Linked DNA regions of Drosophila melanogaster. The gene in region 1 interacts genetically with each later gene. Each region holds a gene or a part of one and is shown on either strand. Other genes may lie near its edges. The genes, in order: Mon1 and VGlut.

The links.
Region 2: of Mon1 (region 1) and VGlut, changing one suppresses a phenotype caused by changing the other (phenotypic suppression), as found in Drosophila melanogaster (one study listed by BioGRID).

What each region holds. Positions count from the first base shown.
Region 1 is NT_033779.5:4,849,061-4,853,443, forward strand, and holds Mon1 (monensin sensitivity 1), read left to right. Parts: upstream 1-1,580; 5' UTR 1,581-1,690; coding exon 1,691-2,283; intron 2,284-2,347; coding exon 2,348-2,499; intron 2,500-2,553; coding exon 2,554-3,395; 3' UTR 3,396-3,580; downstream 3,581-4,383. Other genes in the region: CG11927 (uncharacterized protein), read left to right, coding at 1-264; mRpS2 (mitochondrial ribosomal protein S2), read right to left, coding at 452-1,221, 1,279-1,303. UniProt on the Drosophila melanogaster protein: Part of the Mon1-Ccz1 guanyl-nucleotide exchange factor complex specific for Rab7 that promotes the exchange of GDP to GTP, converting Rab7 from an inactive GDP-bound form into an active GTP-bound form.
Region 2 is NT_033779.5:2,398,292-2,403,498, forward strand, and holds the start of VGlut (vesicular glutamate transporter), read left to right. Parts: upstream 1-2,003; 5' UTR 2,004-2,059; intron 2,060-2,459; exon of another isoform or gene 2,460-2,674; intron 2,675-2,815; 5' UTR 2,816-3,042; intron 3,043-3,598; 5' UTR 3,599-3,953; coding exon 3,954-4,003; intron 4,004-5,207.

The DNA.
Region 1 (4,383 bases):
CCGAATGGTTTTGCGTCGATGCATGATTTCAAGAAGCAGCAAATGGATACGTTCTTCGGTCCCGGCCGTGCCATCAAAGGCGGTACGGATCTCTCCATCATTGGTACCTCAGCGCCGCCTCCGCCGCCACCTGACACCCCACCACAGATTACCAACTACTGGCCCTCTGGAAGTTCCAACAACACGGGGTCCAACTCCAATCCCTCGTATTTCAGCCACTACAGCAACAACTTTGTCAAGGGTGCCACTCTGCTGCCGCCCTAGAATAGCTATCCGAAACTAACCCAGGTCGTGGGTTTTCTTAAACACTATCAAATAGCATGGCACATGCACAAAGTTCTGCAATTTTGCAACCATATTTAGCAATTTCTTCTTCATCGTGGATTGACGGCCATTGGCATTTGTATTAAGATAAATGTAACAAAATCAACTTGACACTACTACTTGGCTATTACTTAGTTTTGCGACTGCGCCGCGGCTGGGATTCGTCCAGAGGCGGAAGGCCAAGGAGTTGGCGTCGTTCCCGCTTGCCACGCAGTATGGCTTCCTTGAAGAGGTTGCAATAGAGCTCCACTGCGGCCGGCGAGTCATCGTTGCCGGGCACCGGATAGGTGATCAGGTTGGGATTGCAATTGCTGTCCACTATGCCAATCGTTGGTATGGCCATTTTGGCGGCGTCCCGAACCGCCGTGTGCTGAGCCATAACGTTGTTTTGAGTGTTGAGGAAAATGCAAAGATCGGGCAGCCTGGTGACCGCATCGAATTGCACATTGGCATTGGTAAAGATGCCGCCGCGCCAAAAGCGAGTGTGCGAGAATTCACCGGCCTCCTGGGCCTTTCGCTCCACGAGATGTGAGTTCATGGCGTTGCGGTTGAAGAACAGAATGATGCCATCTCGGAAGGCAATGTGTGCGGCAAAGTTGAGGGCATCGCGCAGATGTGATGCCGTCTTGTCCAGATCGAAGATCAGATGACCTAATCGACTGCCGAACAAGTACGGACGCATTCGGTCGTCCAGGGAGCCCTCCTTGTGGCCATAGTGCACTCGGGCATTGAAGAGGTCGCGCACGGTGAACAGGTTGTGCACTTGGAAGTAGTCCGGATGCTTCAGAATCCGCTGTTCCACCAGGGCGATGTCCTCCGGTTCCGTTTCCACCGATTGCTCCGGCTGTGTGCTCTGCAGGCGTCGTGGCAGACCGCACATCTGACCAAAGCGGGGTACTACCAAGGGAAAGCATGTATAATTTGGTTTCCTTGATGTTTTAATTGATTACTTACGGTTGGCAAACGATTTTCTCAACATTTTGGAGCGGCTCGTGTTTTCATAACCTATGTTCTTCTTCTTTTCCGTCGATTTTGGTAAACAGCTGGTGGGTAGTGTTGGATAGAAGTGTTTCTATAAGAGGTCTTAAAACAAAAACAAAATAACAGATATAAAAATTTAATTATAATTATTAAGATAAAGTAATTCAAAATCCATATATCAAATTAACTTATTTTTCATAACATTTAAGAATGAATAAGCCTATCTTATGGTGTGTTTTCCGGAACACCCTTTATTTCACCTTCTGCTTCGGACAGTGTTGGGAAATCCATTCCAGCTGTAATGATTTAGTTGTAAATTTATGATATTGCTAAATATTGGCAAACTGCAATGTTCCAGCGACTGAAATAGTTAAACGAATTCGAAATGGAAGTAGAGCAGACGTCAGTCAGGTCGGACACGAACTCCACCTGCGAGTATCTAGACGCAGAGGGCGATCCGGAGTCCCCAAATCTCTATCAAGAGGCGGATCCCGACCAGGAGGCCGAGCAACAAAACCATAGTATTATCTCTGAGCTAAGAGATGGCCTGGGCACCATGCGAGATAACAGTGCCCTCAGTCCGGAGCCGGGGCAGGAGAACAAGGGACTGGCTGCCTCTGTGGAGTCTCTGGCATTGAGCACCTCGACCAGCGCCAAAACAGAGGACTCCATTGGCGGGGGACTGGAGGAGGAATACGATTACCAGCACGACAGTCTGTGGCAGGGCCAAAAGAAACACATCTTCATACTAAGCGAGGCGGGAAAGCCAATCTTCTCGCTACACGGCAATGAGGATAAACTGGCCACGCTTTTCGGTGTCATTCAGGCACTGGTAAGCTTCGTCCAAATGGGCCAGGATGCTATTACCTCCATTCATGCGGGCGGCATTAAGTTCGCTTTCATGCAACGCAGCTCGCTCATCCTGGTGGCTGCCAGCAGGAGCAACATGAGTGTGCAGCAGCTGCAGCTTCAACTGGGGTGAGTCAATTATAACGCACCTGATAGCAATGCTAACTAATGGGAACTTCCCATTCTTTACCAGGGATGTCTACAATCAAATATTGTCCATTCTGACGTATTCACACATGACGAAAATCTTTGAGAGGCGCAAGAACTTTGATCTGAGGAGACTGCTCTCCGGCAGCGAACGATTGTTCTACAATCTGTTGGCGAACGACAGTAGTAGTGCCAAGGGTAAGGATATCTAAGCATATCCAAATTGCTTAATTTCTCAACGACTTCTTTTAGTGTCCAACAACATCTTCACATTTTTGACCAACTCAATTCGCGTCTTCCCATTGCCCACAACGATACGATCGCAAATCACCAGCGCCATTCAGAGCAACTGCTCCAAGATCAAGAACCTGGTGTTTGCCGTGCTAATTGCCAATAACAAACTGATAGCATTGGTGCGCATGAAGAAGTACTCCATCCATCCGGCTGATTTGCGTCTGATCTTCAACCTGGTAGAGTGCTCCGAGTCCTTCAAGAGCTCCGAGAACTGGTCACCAATTTGCCTGCCCAAGTTCGACATGAATGGGTATCTGCATGCGCATGTCTCGTACCTGGCGGATGATTGCCAGGCCTGTTTGCTCCTGCTGTCCGTGGACAGAGATGCCTTTTTCACGCTGGCAGAGGCCAAGGCAAAGATCACGGAGAAGCTACGCAAAAGCCACTGCTTGGAAGCCATCAACGAGGAGCTGCAGCAGCCGTTCAATGCGAAACTCTACCAACAGGTTGTGGGAATCCCCGAGCTGCGGCACTTTCTTTACAAGCCCAAGAGCACAGCTCAACTGCTGTGTCCCATGCTCAGGCATCCGTACAAATCTCTGACGGAGCTGGAGCGCCTGGAGGCCATCTACTGCGACTTGCTGCATCGCATCCACAACAGTAGTCGCCCGCTGAAGCTTATCTACGAGATGAAGGAGCGCGAGGTGGTCCTGGCCTGGGCAACCGGAACCTACGAACTGTACGCCATATTCGAGCCGGTTGTGGACAAAGCCACTGTGATCAAGTACGTGGACAAGCTGATCAAGTGGATCGAGAAGGAGTACGACGTGTACTTTATACGAAACCATGCCACATTCTAAGCTTTAGCGCGCTTCGCTAGGGCATTGTGAGATATATGACTATTTTTTTATTGCTCCTCTGCCAATCGAACCAGGACAAAGTTGTTGTGCTGCAGTTGTGACGGCGTTTGTTTAACTGAACCTAGTATACCAGAATCACGCATGTACATTTGTAATTTAAAACTTTAAGTAAATTCTAAAACTTTATAGATAGTTTATCTCTTAGTGGATCTATAGAAAACTGAGTTCTGTCGAAAGGTTCGAGTCACCGCTAGCGCAGCATATCCTTTAAGTTCGGACTCAAACCAAACCGGTTATCTTCGGGGATGGACTTTCGAGAGCGAAAGGAATCGCAGAGAGAGCTTTTGCGGAATCAACAACTTAACGCGCGCACTCGCATCGGCGACCCAATCGCAAGGATTACGATGTGACTGGTGCTGGCCGACCGCTCGGAGAACACAATTGAGTACAGGACACAAACGCGAACGCACACGCTTCGATTGTGGGCGCTGCCACCGGAAATCCAAAGTTGAACCAGTGCCTGACCGAAAAGAATTACAAAATAATTGCTAAAACCGATGAGTATGTGAAAAATGTGGAAAATTGCGTGGTGCTAGATAGAAAATGCCCAGCATAAAATGGAAAATTACGATGCAAACGCGGCGTTTTTTGTTTCCACCTATTTAAGTTGCTCGAAACGGAGCAGCTTTTCAACATGCGCCACGCATTTTTTGGGTGTTAAATGCTCGTGTATCTGTCGGTTTTTGCGCGCTTAGCTCTGCGGCGGCATTAATACACATACAAACATGGGCCAGGACGAAATCCTGCCAGGATATATGCCAGAGTGCATGTGTGTGTGTGTGTATGTGTGTGTCTGTGTGTGTTTGTGTGTGTGAGACGCCGCTCCGTTAGTTTTGCGCGCGTGTTGGTCTACCCGCTTTCATCGTGCAAATCGTTTAATTTATGAGCAAAATGAATATTTTTATACGCATTTCTCGTGCATTCCCCG
Region 2 (5,207 bases), 2.5 Mb from region 1:
AAGGACACAACAGGCCCAACAGGATAATGATGATTACGCTGGCGCAATGAAATTGAAGACGACTTTCTGCCGAAGCTGCACTAATTACCGCTGACGTGCGATGGGAACTGGGAGGCCAGCGGAAGTCCTCGCCCGATTCCAGGACGAAACTCCGTCCGGGGGACTGTCAACTCAAGTTTGACACTTTTCTGCTGACAATTTATGAGAGCGGGCCAACAGCTAAGGTTACCGATTTGAGCACAGTGGGTGTTAAAGAATCATTTTGAGTGAGGAATATTATAAATTTGTCGAAATTATAGATGAATATAGCTTGCAAATCTCATATGCATATAGAACTTATTGTAATTTAAAAAATATATATATTTGACTAGCACTTTTGTAGATTGAGCTTGTAACCAATTTGAATGTTCGGTTTTTTCCACTGTGCACGATGGGCACTGACTGACACTCGATCCGGCCGACAACGTCGCCACTTAGTTTAGAGTTTTATGAGCACAATTCGCAATTCGATTATTCTTCATTTACGTCAATCAATGTGAATGGCGCTTTTAGCCGCTAGCCACGCACCCTTAATCGCTTTGTTTAAATAGTAAAACGCCGCACGGATTGGGCATTTTTCGAAATTTAATATCGCAGATGCTTTTATTGTGCCGCCGTCTTGTCTGTGGAAATCTGTCTGCCCCGAAGTCTGGCTCATGCCGTAGACGTAGTATCTGTATCTGCAAATGTATCTGTATCCCTTTCGAATGCGAAAATCCCGCTGCCGTTCTGTTGACTTTCCTTTCATTTCCCAGCTCGGCTGTTTCCTCGTCCCGCTTCTTGTTTATTTCGCTTTGCTGTTTACTTCCGCAACTTTATTATAGCTTTTGGCTGAGTTGCAACTGTTTGTTGGCTGTTTGCTTTATGCTTATGAGGGTTAGGCCAACGCGTCGTATTCGCAACGTGGCCAGGACATCTGGAGGGGATCCTGGAATGGGACGCCGAACGGAAGCGGGGATTTCTATGGGGCATGGATTTTTTCTGTCCCGTGAATCGATGTGGTTGATGAGAATCGAGGCAGTTGCTCACACTGTTGACCAGGATTATTAGCTACTTAAAGTGGCCATTGAGAATATTCAAGTTGAGTTGAGCCTAATAAGTATATGTGTTGTTTGGAACTGGAGATTCTTTTCTCTTTCCTTGAATATAATAACGAATAATAATAAACGAATCATTCTGCTTCTTGGGGCTAATAAAAGACAACTAGCTTTGGTTTTAAATAAGATCAATTTAGGATCGAAAAATCCATTAGAGTATTCTAATAAAATGAATCAAATGTTTTTTTACCGTTAGACCGCCCAGTAATTAATGATAATCCATTAGATAGATTTCAAGCTCCCAAACGTGAGAATTTAAAAAGCATCACGTCCGATTCGAATCGATCAAAGCCAAGAGCAAAGGACTTATTTATTTGTAGCCGGTCAGACTTCACGATTCATATTGAAACGCTCATCCATAAATCGTAGCATTTTCCAAAAATTCACCAAGTTTGGAGCTATTTTGAGCCCCCATGCAGACAGGGGAAAATATTCAAAATGGCTGACATTCTATAAAAAGGCGGCAGAAGGACGCAGGACGTCTGTGTGCCAGGAGGAAAACAATGGAAAATGGCCTGGCAACATGTTAATAGCATTTCACGCACGACTGAGATTCGCATGCCAACCCAGAGAAAGACATTCCCATGTACCAGGACCTCTGATTGGTTCTTTTTGGCCAGGTGGCGTGCCATTCCCCCACAGCTGTCCCCAGTCTCAACTGCTACAGTTGCCATTCGCCGTCAACCAATGCCGAAGGACGAAGGACTCTCGAAGGATTCTCGAGCCTGCGCAGCTGTCGCCTGCGTCGCGAGCTTTTCACCACAGCGGGTGCGAACGGGACGGATGCGTTGATTATGCTGCGGAGGAGCATAATCCTCTGGCAGGACATCCATCTGGGCAGACAAGAAAGGCGAATGCGGGCGCTTTTAGTTTCACTTCGTGCGTTGTCCTGCTGAGGCCAAAAAGCGAGCCTGGAGCTGCGGGTATATAGCTGGGAAAATACATCTAAAATATACCAATAAATCAGAAAATATAGTTCAAAATATCCGAATAATCGTGCTAATATAGCAAGTGTTTCGAAAAAGTGCTGCCCTCCGGCTAGAAGTTGAGAAATCTACGTTTTTCTGGCAACGCCTCGTAATACCCTTGAAAAGAAAATCTCGCACATTCCAGTGGTTGAAAATTTCCAGTGTATATACTACGCTCCTCCCACCCCTTTAACACCCCATCCCACATTCGCTTCATCACTAGTCCCTCCGTACATATACCCCTGTATGTGATACATTCCAGGCCGCGATGGCAGCTTATGTATCCATCTTCCGCTGCCACCTGTCCTCCGCCGATCTTTGGCTGGAGGTCCACAACGCGGCTGATTTTGAGTTGGACGTCACACAGTCTTCAGACAGAGTTGGATTCGGATCACCATCGTCCTCGTCGTCGTCGTCGGTTCCATAGACAACCTGCCGCCGGTCTCGTGGTCAAACTCTGTCTGGATGTTGTCGTCCCACATACTGAGTTCTTAATTGGTTTATCCAAAGTTTTAAGTTTTTCACTTTAGTTTCATTTCTATTTTTGCGGGCGAGTGTTGCTTAGAAAATGTGAGACTTTATATAAATAAATACAAAACATCTATAACGATATATTTTAACACATTACCAAGAAGATATATATTGTTTTAAAAAATTCTTCTAATTATATTAAATCACCTAATTCCATATCCCTTTTTATCCCATTTGCAGCGTATCGCGTAGTGAATAATCAAGCTATATAATCTGTTATCTGTGTACCTTATTTGTGATATCCTAACCAACAACAACAAAATAAATTAAACGATTTTCGTTGTCTACTAAAACATAATTTAAGCCAAGTTAATCACCAAAAATATCTGTGCTTAAGTTACGACTAGAGGCCGATTATATAATCTTGCACCAACTACGAAATGGATTACGTAACTCTGGTGTGGCATGTAAGTAGGCGTTGTGGCCAAAGGTCAAAAGTACAACTGTTTTGGGGGAGGAGCTTCCAATGGAATCATCTAAAGAATTTTGTGAAAAACGCCAAAGAATGCGTACATATATACTTTACATTTAGTTTCGAAATTCCTGATCTAACAAGAAATAAGCTAGTATAAAAAATGCACAAACTTAAAACCTATGATTATTTCCATTGAATTTGTTTTCTTATTATAAATTGTAATTCTAATAATTCCAATAATCGTAACATTGCTAACTCTTTCGAAAGAGATTACCCAAATCAAAAGAGGTGTCAAATTTCATGCTCACACCAAATGAAGCATAAAACGCTATCAAAACCGCTCACAATGCCAGAAATATTTACAAAATGCTCTGCCGGCTCAGTAGTTACCCCTCATCACAATCATTTCGAAATTCTCGTGAATTTATGAACATAAGCGGCTTACAAGAAATGTGCAAAATGATGAAATTGTACGAGACTTTTGCTTATCAGCAGCAGAACACAAATTGCCGGACCCATTAATAGCCGCATACAAATCTCTTTTGCAGGCACTGTAAATGAAAATGCACAAACTCCACGAGAATCGAAATCATATGGCGACCAAGTGAAAATCCCCCGCTGAGAGAACGAGCCAACCCGAAAATAGAGTCATCAAATTTGTGCTGGCTTCACGGAAATTAACCGCCGCCGATTCGCTACGCTTATATACACGGCAATCCGCCGTGAAGTAGGCAACAAAATATATTTATGCGCCCAAGTGATAACGGCGCAAAGGCAACGAAGCACAACAGACGCTGACTTGGGCGAAAGGACAGCAGCAGGAGCAGGACTCGTTGATCCGGAGGCAGGGGCGGAGTGAGGACAGGCGTCTGGGAAAATCAGGACTACTAGCTGAGCAGCAAGATGAAGGGTCTGACGGCGTTTAAGGAGAAGGCAACGGGCGTGTTTGGCGGGTGAGTCGATGTGATATGATATACTCTAGTAACACCAGACAGCAGGGTTTGGGTCTTAAAGAATATTCAGATTTATAAAGGTTTTTTTTTTTTACCAGCAAGAGGATATATTTAAGCATAGAAAGCAGATCTATATGTATATTTAAAATATATCCTCATTTTGTTGGCAAGTGTACAGCGATGATGGGTGGCAATATGCCCGAAATGAAATATGATTGCAATCAAATGGACCTGCGGAGAACAAAAGGGAGAGAGTTTAATTTAACGCAAGGATGGTCGGTGCTCGTGGTTGGCTGAACTTGACCATGCCAGGATAATGCAGTAAATATGTACCGATATTGATACGCACTGGCGACTAGCCGGCGTCGCGAAACTTCGGCACGTGTCGCGCCCCCCCCGGAAAGTTGTAAAATTATTGGCATGCTTAACAAGTCATTAGAGGGGGTTTATAGGGATTCTAAGGACTTGGGACTTGGCACTTTTCACTGGTGACAACGAACGCAGTGGCATGCGGACGAGCTCACCGGTGCGTCAGGAATTCCGGGCACGTTGGCAGCACGTGTCCGGGAACTTCAACTCCGGCACCTTCGATTGCGGACGAAACGCAATAAAGTCGTGCCACTGGGACATATTGGGCAAACACTCGATGAATGTGTGTGGTCGTGGTATGCAATTTGATGGGCACACCTCGTCTGATTTCTCAAGGACCTTGAGTGCTAAATTAGAAATTGGAACAATAGGTGGCACATCGCTTTCATTACGGAATTTGTTGCATACCGACGAAGGCTGCTGCAGCGCTTAAGGCAAATGAAATTGATTTTTACGAGCTGCGAGCCGTTTCCGTTTCCGTATCCGTATCCATTGCCAACAGGACCTGGCGCTGAAGCGCTCGAGTGGCACTCGGCGCGAAGAAATTGAAATGCCTCGTTGGGGGAGTGCTCAAGGAGTTCCTTTATCCTTGCTAGTGAAAATGAAATTAGAATTGCCATTGAAGACGCGGTCGTGTCGCTGACAAGCCCCCATTCTCCCACTCCCCCTCAGTGCCAGAGCATCTTCATCACAGTTGTCAGGGCAAACAAACTAATACACTCCATACAGCTCTACATATACATATATATCTGAGAATGTGCCCCATTTACATCTCTAATGGTCGCGTTTTGTGGCCACGTTAAAGTCAAAGGCGAATTGTACAAAAGCCTTCTGC